Linked DNA regions of Stegostoma tigrinum. The protein of the gene in region 1 binds, or shares a complex with, the protein of each later gene. Links are inferred from orthologs where the notes say so. Each region holds a gene or a part of one and is shown in the gene's direction. Other genes may lie near its edges.

The links. The genes of interacting proteins can lie anywhere in the genome.
Region 2: odad3 (region 1) and clxn share a complex: the UniProt entries of both Homo sapiens proteins name them as parts of the outer dynein arm-docking complex. The link is inferred for Stegostoma tigrinum from reciprocal best matches to the Homo sapiens genes ODAD3 and CLXN.

Annotation. Positions count from the first base shown.
Region 1 is NC_081388.1:25,227,256-25,234,965, reverse strand, and holds the start of odad3 (coiled-coil domain-containing protein 151), read left to right. Parts: upstream 1-4,690; 5' UTR 4,691-5,040; coding exon 5,041-5,110; intron 5,111-6,936; coding exon 6,937-7,058; intron 7,059-7,710. UniProt on the Homo sapiens protein: Component of the outer dynein arm-docking complex (ODA-DC) that mediates outer dynein arms (ODA) binding onto the doublet microtubule. Involved in mediating assembly of both ODAs and their axonemal docking complex onto ciliary microtubules.
Region 2 is NC_081355.1:77,300,276-77,307,225, reverse strand, and holds the start of clxn (calaxin), read left to right. Parts: upstream 1-3,936; 5' UTR 3,937-5,351; coding exon 5,352-5,433; intron 5,434-6,950. UniProt on the Homo sapiens protein: Component of the outer dynein arm-docking complex (ODA-DC) that mediates outer dynein arms (ODA) binding onto the doublet microtubule. Seems to regulate the assembly of both ODAs and their axonemal docking complex onto ciliary microtubules.

The DNA of each region.
Region 1 (7,710 bases):
ACGGTAATAAATTTGTCAGGCCTGATTTCCCTATCGGTCGCCATACTGACTCTGCTCAATTTTATAATGCATATCTCAATGCTTGCTATTACATTCTTTATTATAGTCTCTAACACCTTTCCCATGACAGATGTTAAACTAACTGGCCTATTATACCCTTTCAAGTCGCTCACTTTTTGAGTAAAGGTGTTATGTTGGTATTTTCCAATCCTCTGGAACTTTTCTTGAATATAAGACTTCTTGAAAGATTACTACCAGTGCATCTAATATTTCTGAAGCTATTTCTACAGAATTTTACCATCTGTAGAAGATTTGTATTCCCATGGCCCAGTATATCCCTCAATCAACTATTACCATTAAATCAGGGGATAAATGCACATCAATGCAAAAGACAAGGCTGAAACGTTTGCAATCAATGATCAGCCAGAACTGCTCAACCTTCTTGTCCATCATTGACAGGAATCAAGTTTTATCTGACATTATAGATCCCAATCTTTAGCCACATCACTCCATGTGATACTGAGAATTAACTGAACATACCAGACACAGCAAAAGGTCTAGGCCTTCACAACAACCCAGTTACGGGACAGAAGAGATAGCAAGAACTGCAGATGCTCAAAGTCACTACAATGTGAAGCTGGAGGAACACAGTAGGTCAGGCAGAATCGGGGAGTAGGAGAATCAATGTTTCTGGCCTAGATCCTTCATCAGGACTGATAAAGAGTCTAGGCCAAAACATCAACTCTCCTGCACCTCTGATGCTGCCTGACCTGCTATGTTCCTCCAGCTCCACACTGTATCGACTGTAATAGAGAAGGCTTGTGCTGCAGAATTACCACATGTAGTCAAGTTGTTGTAGAACTGTTACAACACTGACATCTACTCAACAATGTTAAAAATTTTCAGGTATTTTCTGTGCAAGCTATTACCCCCTCAGCCTACTTGCAGCGATAGGTGTCATTGATAGTGCTCTCAAGCTGTGCTTACTCAGCTAAATCTGTTCACCAAAGCTCAGTTTGGATTCAATCAGGAACACTCAGCTCCAGTCCTCAAAACAGCCCAAGTATGGATGAAGAGCTGAATTATACAGGTGAGGTGAAGTGGCTGCCATTTACATCAAGGCAGCATTTTGGCTCAGTATGGCATCAACAAGCCCAGGCAAAATGAAAGCCAAAGGGAATTGTGGAAATTCTCCACTGTTTGGAGTCATACTAAGCACAAGGTAAGATGGTTGTGGATGATGGAAGAGTTCCTCAGGGTAGTGTCCAAGAATGAAATATGTTCAGTCACATCATTCATTGAAAAGCTGGTGGTGAGTTGCCTTCTTGCACCACAGCAGTTCATCTGGTGCAGATCGACCACATTATGTTGTACAGAAGGGGGTTTCAGGATCTTGATCCAGTAACGATAGGATTGGCACAAGAGTTTCAAGTCAGGATTAAGCTGTAGTTTGGAGAATAACATGCTAAGCGTGGTAACAATTGTGCCTTACTAGGCAAGTGCCATTTCCAATAAAAGAGAATCAAACCAATTCCCCTGGACCTTTGACACCATTATCAGTGATGAACTCTCCATCATTAACAGCTTTTGAGGACTATTGACTGAAAAATTAAGACTTAGTTCCTCTGGTCCCAAATGGGCATCAAGACTCTATCACTAGGCCTGATTTATAGTCATTTCTTGGTCTAGTCCAGAACTTCTTTAGCTGGCCCCATCTTCTTCTTCCATCTGGTAGCATCTATCTTACTGCCATTTCAGCAAGATGAGGACAAGAAACTCAAACTAATCAGCTATTCAAAAATTGTGGCTACATGATTAAGTAGAGCTGGAAATTCTGCAGTGAGTAGTTCACCCTCTTAGTCCCTAAAGCCTGTCCACCATCTACAAGACACAAGTCAGCAGTATGATAGACAACTCCCCACTTGCCTAGATGAATATTGCTCCAACAACACTCAGGAAGCTCAGTAACATTGAGGACAAAACAGGCCCTTTGTTGAAATCCCATTCACGGCCTCCAGCATTCATTACCTCCACCAGCACCAGAGTTCAATGTCAGCAATGTATCTACAGAATGTGCTGCAGCAACTTTGCAAAGCTGCCTTTAACAGCACCTTTTGAACCAGGTGTCTATCATAGGAGCAGCAGATGTACCTACAGGGGTCGTCTCCAAGCCAAATTTCATTATGTTTTGGAACTGTAATACTGTATCTTCACCATTGCAGAGCATCACACTGTATGACCTGACAGCAAAGGGCAAATTGACATGGGAGAACAAACGCTGACCAGCAGTGGTCACATCTCATGGAATAACATTAAAATTATGCTTCTTACAGTACCACTATCAGTCACTCATATGTAATAAATCCTTAAAGAAATTCAGGAACCATTTATGTTTCCAAGTTCTTTGAGAATGTGACCAAACAGGTAGATGAGAGTAAACCGGTTGATGTGGTGTATATGGATTTCAGCAAGGTGTTCGATAAGGTTCCCCACAATAGGCTATTGTACAAAATGTGGAGGAATGGGATTGTGGGAGATATAGCAGTTTGGATCGGAAATTGGCTTGCTGAAAGAAGACAGAGGGTGGTGGTTGATGGGAAATGTTCATCCTGGAGACCAGTTACTGGTGGTGTACCGCAAGGGTCGGTGTTGGGCCCACTGCTGTTTGTCATTTTTATAAATGACCTGGATGAGGGCGTAAAAGGATGGATTAGTAAATTTGCTGACGACACTAAGGTTGGTGGAGTTGTGGATAGTGACGAAGGATGCTGTAGGTTGCACAGAGACATAGATAAGCTGCAGAGTTGGGCTGAGAGGTGGCAAATGGAGTTTAATGCAGACAAGTGTGAGGTGATGCATTTGGTAGGAGTAACTGGAATGCAAAATACAGGGCTAATGGTAAGATTCTTGGTAGTGTAGATGAGCAGAGGGATCTCGTTGTCCATGTACACAGATCCTTGAAAGTTGCCACCCAGGTTGACAGGGTTGTCAAGAAGGCAGACAGTGTTTTAGCTTTTATTAATAGAGGGATCAAGTTCCGGAACCAAGTGGTTATGGTGAAGCTGTACAAAACTCTGGTGTGGCCGCACTTGGAGTATTGTGTACAGTTCTGGTCACCGCATTATAAGAAGGATGTGGAAGCTTTGGAAAGGGTGCAGAGGAGATTTACTAGGATGTTGCCTGATGTGGAGGGAAGGTCTTACGATGAAAGGCTGAGGGACTTGAGGCTGTTTTCATTAGAGAGAAGAAGGTTGAGAGGTGACTTAATTGAAACATGTAAGACAATCAGAGGGTTAGATAGGGTGGATAGGGAGAGCCTTTTTCCTAGGATGGTGACAGCGAGAACGAGGGGGCATAGCTTTAAATTGAGGGGTGAAAGATATAGGACAGATGTCAGAGGTAGTTTCTTTACTCAGAGAGTAGTAAGGGAATGGAACGCTTTGCCTGCAACGGTAGTAGATTTGCCAACTTTAGGTACATTTAAGTCGTCATTGGATAAGCATATGGACGTACATGGAATGGTGTAGGTTAGATGGGCTTGAGATCGGTATGACAGGATGGCACAACATCGAGGGCCGAAGGGCCTGTACTGTGCTGTAATGTTCTATGTTCTATGTTCCATAGTTTTAATACTGTTGCTCCATATTTTAATGTCAAAATACAGATTTCACAGTCACATGGGGAATGCCACAGCAGTCCTCGACCACAATGCACATTGCTCACAGGCAGAAAGCAACTGGTAAAAGAAGTGGGAGGGGGAGTTGAACTCATATTCCGCTTGGGGCCCCTGCAGCCCAATGGTATCAATGTGGACAGAGATAATGGGAACTGCAGATGCTGGAGAATCCGAGATAACAAAGTGTGGAGCTGGATGAACACAGCAGGCCAAGCAGCATCTCAGGACCATAAAACCTGATGTTTGGGGTCAAGAGTCTAGGCCTGAAACGTCAGCGGTTGTGCTCCTGAGATGCTGCTTGGCCTGCTCTGTTCATCCAGCTTCACGTTTTGTTATCTCAGTATCAATGTGGATTTCACAAGATTCAAAATCTCCCCTCTCCCTACTGCATCCCAAAACTAGCCCAGGCCGTCCCCGCCTCCCTAACCTGTTCTTCCTCTCACATATCCTCTCCTCCCACCTCAAGCTGCACCTCCATTTCCCGCCTCCTAACCTCATCCCGCGCCCCCCCCCCTCCTTGGCCTGTCTGTCCTCCCCGGACTGACCTATCCTGTCCCTACCTCCCCACCTACACTCACCTTTACTGGCTCCATCCCCGGCCCTTTAACTCGTCTCCTCTCTATCTATCTTCTTTTCTCTCCATCTTTGGTCCGCCTCCCTCCTCTCCCTATTTATTTCAGAACCCTCCCCCCATCCCCCTCTCTGATGAAGGGTCTAGGCCCGAAACGTCAGCTTTTGTGCTCCTGAGATGCTGCTTGACCCGCTGTGTTCACCCAGCCTCACATTCTACTATCTCGGATTCTCCAGCATCTGCAGTTCCTATTATCTCTGGTAAAAGTAGTAATTTGTGCCTCTGCAGTCAGTTAGCAAACAGAGAGGTGGGGTTACTGATTGGATCGCCGCGCTGACGGAAGTACAGTACAGCATTGAGGTGACGGGAAGATGGTATGGGCCAGGGCAGTGTCAACTCATAGGTTCCCAGTTCGTCAGTGTGTGAAGAGACGTCAACCTGGTTAGTTACCACAGCAGGACGAACAGGAAACGGAAATCAGGGTTTCTCAGCAACTGCTTTATTGCCTGTTGCTCGGGAGATTAGATCAAGCAAACGAAACGAGTTAGAAAAGGAAGGGGAGAGAGAGAGAAGATAGAGAGGTGAATCGATCCATATTGGCGAAGGTAGCAAAAAAAAGGGAATAAAAGTGAATTTGGAAAGGAATTTCAATTCAGTGGCAGAAAAATAGCATGTGGAGCCAAAGAGAGAAATAAGAACCTAAACATTCGTTTGCAAAGACTGGCAGCTCAGCAGGGACTGGGACACGAAAATAAGGGGCAGCTACAACGGGAAAGACGGCCCAGGGTCGACGATGTTCGGACCTTCGCGGGTCCCTGTCCAGGAACAGATCTGGGATTTGCAGAAAAAAATCCAATTATTAGGTAAGTTTGATTGGACATATCAAAGAAACACAATAGAAGAGAATGAGCACACCAGTCTGACACCTCGTGTCTCTAACAATAATATTTCTGGAAACTCAAACAGTTCAGATATTTTAACCTGGGATGTGTAAGAAATTCTTCACTTGATTCCTTTGATTTGCGAGAATTAAAAGCAAGATAGCAAGGTAAATGGAGAATTGGAAAGAGGAAGAAAGAAAGGAAGGAAATAGAAACTGTGAGAAAAAAATTCATGGACGTGAGATGAAGGAAACTGAAGAGGCAGAAATCAGTGCAGAGAAGATGCTGCATTTAGTCTGAGCAGTATTCATCCTATCAGTTAGAGATTAGAAGAGAATACCCTTTCGTGATAATTGCCAAGGATGACCTAATGCATCAATGAGTTGCAATTAAACAGGGACCTAAAATTCTTCATAAATTTTCCATGAAAGTTTCAGGATTTTACCATGGAAAAATAAGCCAAAGTTCTTTACAATTTGCTGATTTGCTTCAAAAACAGAAGTTACTGGAAAAGGTCTGACAGCATCTGTGAAGAGAAATCACATCTAACATTTTGGGTCCAGTGACCCTGATTTGCTTTTTTTTCTCCATTTTGATTTAATTGGATGTGATTTGATGTGATTTATTGTCACACGTACCTAAGTACAGTGAAAAGCTTTGTTTGCAGGCAGTACAGGCAGATCATAGTAAGCAAGGATGTACAGATCATAGGATGAAGAAAAGATTTGGATATCGTAAGCCATGCAGATTACACTGCAGAGAACATGCACAAGGCAAGGTCAGCATTATTTGAAATTACAGTCCATTCATCACGTGTGTGTGTGTGTGTGTTCAAGCTTTTGTATCCTCTGCCTGATGGAAGAGGTTGTAGGGGAGCACCACTGGGGTACGATGGGTCTTTGATGATGATGGCAGCCTTTATGCAGCAATGAAACATGTAAGTGGAGTCCATGGATGGGAGGTTCGCTTCTGTAATGGTCTGGGCTGTGTACATCACTTTCTGTTCTTTCTTATGGTCCTGGACAGACCAGTTGCCATACCAGGCCATTATGCACCCAGGGAATATGCTTTTCTTTGGTGCAACTGTAAAAGTTGGTGAGGGTACTTATGGACATGCCAAATTTCCTGAGCCACTTAAGGAAAAAGGGCCATTGTTGTGCCTTGACCGTTGCTTCCACATGGAAAGTCCAGGACAGGTTGTTGGTTATTGTCACTCCAAGGAAGCTCTCAACTTTCTCAACCTCAGTTCTGTTGATGTAGATGGGGGCGTGTTCTCCTCCTTTCTTTATGAATCAAAGATTGGTTCTATAGTTTGGCTGACATTGACAGAGAGGTTGCTATCACTGCACCGCGTCATCAAGCCATCTATCTCCTTTCCGTATTCTGACTCAATGTTTGAAGCCCACCCTACCGCGGTGGTGTCATCAGCAAACTTGTAGATGGTGTTTGTTTGGAAGTTGGCAACAAAGTTATGAGTGTACAGGGAGTACAGTAGGAGGCTGAGGATGCATCCTTGGGGGTCTCCAGTGTTGAGGGCTATAATGGAGGACGTGCAGTCTGTCTTCACTGATTGTGATCTTTGGATCCAGAGGATCCAGAGCAGAGGGTGGAGCAACACTTAGGTTTTCTGTGTTTGCCTGAAGTGGTCACCTTCGGGTTAAACCACCACCCATAGTCTCGCCAAAGAGAGAGCAGCCCTATTGTTGGTCAGACCACAGTTACTTTACTCTATTTTACTGGTTCCCTGACCAGGATAAGATTATCCACAGAAGCAGAACATGCTCATCTTATTGACTGGTTTATTTCAGAGGGTGACCGTAAGGCTTACTATGAAAGTTCACAGTGCAAAATCAAGAAGAACAAGGACACCATTCAATATGTCAGAGAAGAAAATAAACGCCTGCACAGAGTACTTGCAGGGGCATTGCTGGTAAGATCAAATCCTTCTCAACGTCTCCCTTTGCCTGATGTGTGGTGACTCTCAGGTTCAACCAGCACTTGTCGACTCTCTTCGAGAAGAGGCCCTATGGTCTAGTCGGACTATGTCGACTTGTTGGCCTTGAATTTTGATTTTACTGACTTGCTCACAAGCTCAGTCATTCACCTCTATTGTAACAAATTTCTGTAGAAGTTGAATGTGTGCTTTTAATTGCCTTCATCACAATATTGGAGAAATAATAAAGCTGCATTTTTACAGCACCGTTTAAATTGAAAATGTGCAAAAGTGTTTCACAAAGAAACCAGGGGAGTAACTGAGAATATTATAAATAACATACGCTGAGCTTTTGAAGAATAAATTGGAAAGATTGATGAATGACTTGGTTGAAAAGTTGCGTATTAAGGAAATGAATCAGATGAGGGTCCAATGAGTCAGTGTAAAGTTGCTGAAGGATGTAGAAAAGCAGATGCCAAAGGAAATTTGTGGGCATTTCACAGAATCACAGAATACCTGAAAACAGGCCATTCTGCCAACAAGTCCACGCTGACCCTCTGAAGAGCATCCCACCTAGACCCGTCTCTGTATAATCCTACATTTCCCCCTGGGTAAGGCACTTAATCTATACATCCATGAACATTATGTG
Region 2 (6,950 bases), on another chromosome or scaffold:
AAATCCCATTAAAAAAAAACTTAAGATCTTATTTAAACAAGTGTAACTGAATTTGTAATAATACTTCCAATGTGACTTGGAAATGAACATAGAAGGTATGTTTAATAAGTTTGCAGATGACACCAGAATTGGAAGTGCAGTGACACAGTGAAGAAGGTTACCTTAGCGTACAATGGGACCTTGATCAGAAAGGCCAATGGGCTGAGGAGGAGCAGGTGGAATCTAATTTAACTAAACATGAAGTGCTGTATTTTGGAAAGGCAAATTAGGGCAGGACTTACACATTTAATAAGGTCCCGGGGAATATTGCTGAATAAAGAGACCTTGTCGTGCAGGTGCATAATTCCTTGAAAGTGGAGTTGCAGGTAGAAAGGATAGTGAAGAAGGCATTTGGTATACTTGCCTTTATTGGTCAGTGCATTGAGTATCAGAGTTGGGAGGTCATGTTGCAGCTGTGCAGAATATTGGTTAGGCCACTTTTGGAATACTGTATGCACTTCTGGTCTCCCAGCTATAGGAAGGATGTAGTGAAACTTGAAAGGGTTCAGAAAAAGATTTACAAGGTTGTTGCCCGGATTGGAGGGCTTGACCTTGGGCTATATGGAGAGGCTGAATTGTATGGGGAGTTGGAGGCTGAGAGGTGAACTTAGAGAAGTTTATAAAGTCGTGAGGGGCATGGATAGGGTGAATAGGCAAGGTCTTTTCCCTGGGGTGCGTCTAAAACTGGAGGGCACAGGTTTAAGGTGAGAGGGGAAAGGATTTAAAACAAACAGACCTAAGGGCCAACATTTTCATGCAGAGGGTGATGCGTGTATGGAATGAGCTGCCAGAGGACGTGGTGGAGGCTGGTACAGTGACAACATTTAAAAAGCATCTGGATGGGTATATGAATTGGAAGGGTTTGGAGGGATATGGGCCAAATGGGACTAGATTAAATAAGAAATGTGGTCAGCATGGACGAGTTCGACTAAAGGGTCTGTTTCCATGCTGTACAGCTCTATGGCTCTAATTTGATAGGCAACAGCACTGCAGAATCGATCAGTACTGCAAAATGATTAACATACTTTAAGAAGCTAATCTTCAGTAGTTCTGAAAATTTTAGCTTCCATCTTCACCCAGAATGTTCCAATCTTTAATATGATTTCTGGAAGGAACTTTATTTGAGAGTTTCTTTCTTTCCAATTTGAGAAGCTGTGAATGCCTTTTTATTTGGGTTATTTACTTTTACAGCATAATAACTGCTGCTCCATACTGAATATGTCCAATTAAGAATATCGCAATCAGTTGCAGTACAACTGCAGAAGTACAGAGGTGAAAATTTCATCAGAGGGTTTCAAGGTCAGCTGTGCTTTCTCATTGATCACAACCTCCAGTACTACAATAAGTTATAGAAAGAGCAGCTCTGAGGAATTTTTCACCTGTGAATTCTGCTAAACAATGATTTGACTGAGATTTCCATGTAGTAAAGTTTCTTTGAGATTTTAAAAAAAGAATTCTGATTCCACTTCTGCTCATCTTAAATTTGTCGCCTTCATGTCAGTTGGCAAAAGCAATCTAGCACAATTTAGCTTAACGTAACAATCTTTGAAAATTAAAAGGGGTTATCAGGTCACATTATAATCTTCCTTAATTCTCATCTTAACTGAAAAATCTTTCTCAAATCCTTCTTCATTTAAGTAATCTTAATGTATGGAGTGTATTTACACTGTAATCAATTTCTTCATGTAATGATGTGCTAAAGATAACAGCAATTCCTCTGCTGTAGCCCAAGGTGTTGCTGAAAATCAACATGGCTTCCTTGAATTCCTACTCTTCGACCTTGATTTTACAGTGTTTACACCCAATTTTGATTATTTCAAAATGGCCAAGAGCATAAATGTTTGCAATGACATTATACGGTTCCCTGTTCACAAAATCATTTGCAAGTTTTTCATTCAAAGTAATAGTACAGGAAGGAACACCTGTTCAAATATAATTAGACAACAGACATACTTAAATAATTAAATACACATGTCAAACATTTAATTTTCTAATACAGGAATTTCAACACGAAACCATCATCCAGTGATGCTAGGCAGTTGTATCAATTTCTTTACTGTCATGTGCTAGCAAATGATTACATTATGAGGAAAGCTTAAAGTTACTTGGCCTGATTATTAGGGAGTAATCTAAATGAGGTATTTAAGATTATTATTAATTAGATGTAAGTGGATAAAGTACTTCTTCTGGCAAAAGAATTGAGAAAGAATTGACAAAACCTTTGAATTAAGCCGTGCAGCAGTGATATCAGAAGCGTTTCTTTATGCAGGGTAGTGGAAGACTGCAACTATCTTTCCCTAAAAAGCTGTTGAATCTATCTTAGGTTTAAAAAAAAGTATTAAACATTACTGAACCAAAGTGCATAGATGGAATAAAAATATGAAACAGCCAAGATTAAATTTAACTGGTGATCAAAGAGCTGTTTGGCCTATTCCTGTGCCAATCTTTCCAGCACAGCATTAAAACTGGGCATTCTGCTTTCTATGTTACAGCTTCAAAGTGTAACCGTTTGACACAGTCAATAGCAGCAATTTTTTTTCCCCTTTAGGAAAATTCCCTCCTCGTGTTACTTGGACAAACTGCTGAAATGCAAAGGATTAAGTTGGCCAAGGAGCACAGGAAGCCTTTTAGTTTAATTCATTCATGAGATGTGGGTCACTGGCTCGGGCAACATTTATTGCACTCCCTAATTACCCTGGAAAAAGTGGCAATCTTGAATCACTACAGTCTTTGAGGCGCAGGAACCACCACAGTGCTGTCAGGAAGGGTGCTCCTGGATTTTGACCCAGTAATGGCGAAAGATCCGTGACGTGGTTTCAAGTCAGCATGGTGTGCGCCTTGTAGGGGAACTTACAAGTGGTGGTGTTACCAAGAATCTGCACTTGACCTTCTAGGTGGTAGCGTTCATGGATTTGGAGGGTATTGTCACAGAAACATTAGTGAGTTACTGCGGTCCATCTTGGGCATGGTATACACTGCCTCTACTGAACTTTAGTGTTGATGGTGGTGAAAGTTGGATGTTAAGTTGGAGTGCCAAATAAGCTGCTTCAGGGTCATTGGAGCTACACTCATCCAGGCAAATGGAGAATGTTTTATCACATTCATGAATTGTGGCCTTGCAGATGGTGGATCAGCATTGAAAAGTCACAAAGTTAGTCACATATCCTAGGATTCCAAGCTGCTGTCTTGATCTTACAACCATGGTATTTCTATGGCTGGTTAATGGTAACCTCCAGAATGTTGATAGTAGGGGATTCAGTGATGATAATGCCATTAACTATCACAGCTGATGGTTAGATTTTCTCTTGCTGGAAGTGATTGTTGCCTGGCATTTGCCTGATGTGATGATTATTTGCCACTTATTCATTCTCAGCCTCGACGTCATCCAGGTCTTGCTACAAATGGACACAGACTGTTGCAGCATCTGAGGTGTTGTGAATGACCCTGAACGCTGTGCTATCATCAGTGACCATCCTCACTTCTGACATTATGATAGTGGGAACCTTATTGATGAAAAGGTGAAGATAGCTGAGCCTGAGGCCCTACCCTGGAGAATACCTACAGTGATGTCCTTGGACTGGGACAATTAACTTCCAACAATCATCTTTCTTAATGCTTTGTGTGACTTCAACCAATAGAGAATCCTCATCACCTCAACCACCACTGTCCCCACCCCAACCCTGATTTCTATTAATTTGCATTTTGCCAGAGTTTGTTGATGCCACACTTGTTCAAATGCAGCCTTGATGTCAAGGACAATCAAGCTTGCCACATCTCAGGAATTCACCTCTTTGTCAGTGTTTGGAGAGACGCTGTACTAAGGCCAGGAGCGGAGAGACGCTGTACTAAGGCCAGGAGCTGAGAGACCCTGGCAGAACCCTGCCTGCATGCCAGTAAACACCTATTCCCTTGCAAGTGTTGCTTGATAGCATTGTTCATGATCATCACTTTTATGATTAAGATCAGACTGATAGGGTGGTAATTGGTCAGATTGGGTTTTCCTGCTTTGGTACACGCCTGAGTAAATCTCCACATTGGCATCTACATGCCAGTCACTACACTGGCACAACTAGGGCCATGACTAATTGCGGAGCTCAAGTCTTTGGTACAGTTGCTAGAATATTGTTACCTTTAGAAGTTTCCTGATTGGAATGGAGTGAAGTGAACTGGTGAAGACTGGTATGTGTGTTGGTGGAAATCTCAGGAGACCAAGATAGATCCTCCACTTTGATGACGATAGATGCAAACATTTCAGCCTTATCTTTTTCCCTGGTGTGCTATGGTCTCCCATCAGTGAGAATGGGAATATTTGTGGACACTGCATCTCCTGTCAATTTTTTAAATGTCCATCACCATTGGATCCACTGGTTATGAGAAGGCATTTTCACCACTTAACTGCCAACCATTGATCATCTCCAACAGATAATCTAACCTTCAACCCCCTCAACCCCACTTGGCATTCAATAGCATGACCATTGCTGAATCCACACCTGAATCAACATCCTGAGGTTAGCATCGACCAGAAACAAAACTGAACTCGGCATATAATTACTGTGTCCTTAAGAACATGTCTGAGGCTAGGTTCCTGCAGCAAGTAACTCACTGCCTGACTCCCCAAAGCCCACTGACAAGGAAAAAGTTAGGAATGTGACAGCATACTCTCCACTTGCCTGGACGAATGCGGTTCCAACAAGACTTGAGAAGCCTGACACCATCCAAAACAAAGCGACTCACTTGTTTGGCGCCATATTCAGAAACATTAATCCCCTCCACGATCAACACTCAGTAACAGTGATGTATACTACTTAAGGACGCACTGCAGAAATTCACAAAGGCTCCTTGACAGAGTTTTCCAACCCATGATTATTAGAAGGCCAAGGGCAGCCAATACATGAGAACACCACTGCCACCACCTTAAAGATTCCTCCACCACTCACAGACTTGGAAATATTTGGCTCAGTGTGGCTCTTGGAACTTGCCAACACTCCAGTCCTATCCATTAAATGACTTGCACCAGTTTAAAAAATGCAGCTCACTAATATCTTTCAACTATGGACAGACAATAAATGCAAGCCCCCAGCACGAGCACAAGCTACTCGCTCGCGCGCATACGCTGCGCCGGCGCAATTCGTCACTGTGGAGAAGTATTGCCTGATGTCACCAGTAGATGCGCACGCAGCCGCCACCTTCGCAGATTCCTATTGGGCCGCGTCGCGTGGCGTTACCAAGGAAATTGTGGCGTTGGTGACAGAGGGACAGAGACGGGAAGGTGGTTGAGTCAGTAAGGGTCTGGCGGCTGAATAGGAGCAACAATGTCTCGGATACGGCCATTAGACATGAGCAGGAAGCAGTACCAACAGCTGGCTGACACTCTCTGCAAACTTACCAAGCGTTGTAAGTGAAGAAAGAAGCGCGGGTTCCCAGCGCCCGGACTGTGGGGAACGGAGCTCCTGCTCCAAGGAGGAGGCCAGCGTGATTGTTGGACTCAACCTGTTCGGGGCTATTCAAAAGGGCCAGTATGGACCCCTGCCACATGGAGGCTGTCTATGCCATCCCAACGAGAGAGAGCATTTCTCTGTCGGTCAACGGGTTCTTCCAGCACGAATTTTAAATTCGACCTATTTGTCCAAGTTTGGGGGGCTCTTTGTTGAAGTTGCTCTGACGATACCTTTCCTGTTTTAACAGTGTTCACTCTCTTAGGAGTGAATTAGGAACAATAGACAAATTGGTTCTTCGAACTGTTCCACTTTTCAACATCATGGTTGATGTTTTTGTGATCATCTTGTCTTGTTTGCATACGCATAGCTCCTGGACTTCTTCCTGGATCAAAAATCTTTCTAAATCCCTTGCTGCACCTGCATCCTAATTTTGGGTGATTCATTTACCAGGATACTCAAGTCTTCAGCATCTTTTTTTGATATAATACCACTTTCCTGTGCCAAAGTGGACAAATTCACATTTATTGACATTATATTCTTTCTGCCAAAGTTTTGCCCATGAACTTGGCCTGTGTACATCCCTATGTGGATTCTGCCTCCTTGTGACAGTGAATTTAGCTACCAAACATTCAGTTCTGTCATCCCTTATTGCTAATGTAGATTGTAAATGGTTGCGAACCCAGCTAGTCTCGGGTTGCCGATCCCAGAAAGTTCTAGTTATTACTACTCTGATTCCTGATAGCCAACCCTTTATGCTGCAAATATATTACTTCCTGCACCAGGTGCTCTTATCTTTGCAGCTATCTTACAGATTAGACAAATCACATCAACAATAATACCATAAAGGAGGAATTCATAAAGTGACTATGAGCTGCTTTTGTGGATCAATACCTTGAGGAACCAGCTAGAGAACAGGCCATCCTAGGCTGGATATTGTTTAATGAGAAATGAATAATTGGCAGTCTGTCCATGTGAGGCCCCTTGGGAAGCATAACTACAATATGATGGAATTTTTCATGAAGATGAAGAAGGGTGACGTGGTGGCTCGGTAGTTAGCATTGCTGCCTCACAGTGCCAAGAACTTGGGTTTGATTCCAGCTGTGTGAAGTTTACGTGTTCTCCCTGTGTCTGCATGGGTTTCTGCCAAGTGCTCGAGTTTTCTCTGACAGTCTAAAGATGTGCAGGATAGTTGGATTGGTCATGCTAAATTACCCCATTGTGTTCAGGGATGTGTAGGTTGGGTGTGTTAGCCATGGGAAATGCAGGGTTAGGTGGGGTGTGGGTGTGGTTTGGGTCTGGGGGTGGGATTCTTTTCAGAGGGTCAGTGTTGACTTGTTGGGCCGAATGGCCTGTTTCCACACTGTAGGGATTCTATGGATATAGTATCAGCATCAATTAATGCCCTGAATCTAAATAAAGGAAACTGCGATGGGGCAAGCCATACATTGAGCTATGATAAATTGGGGAATGCTG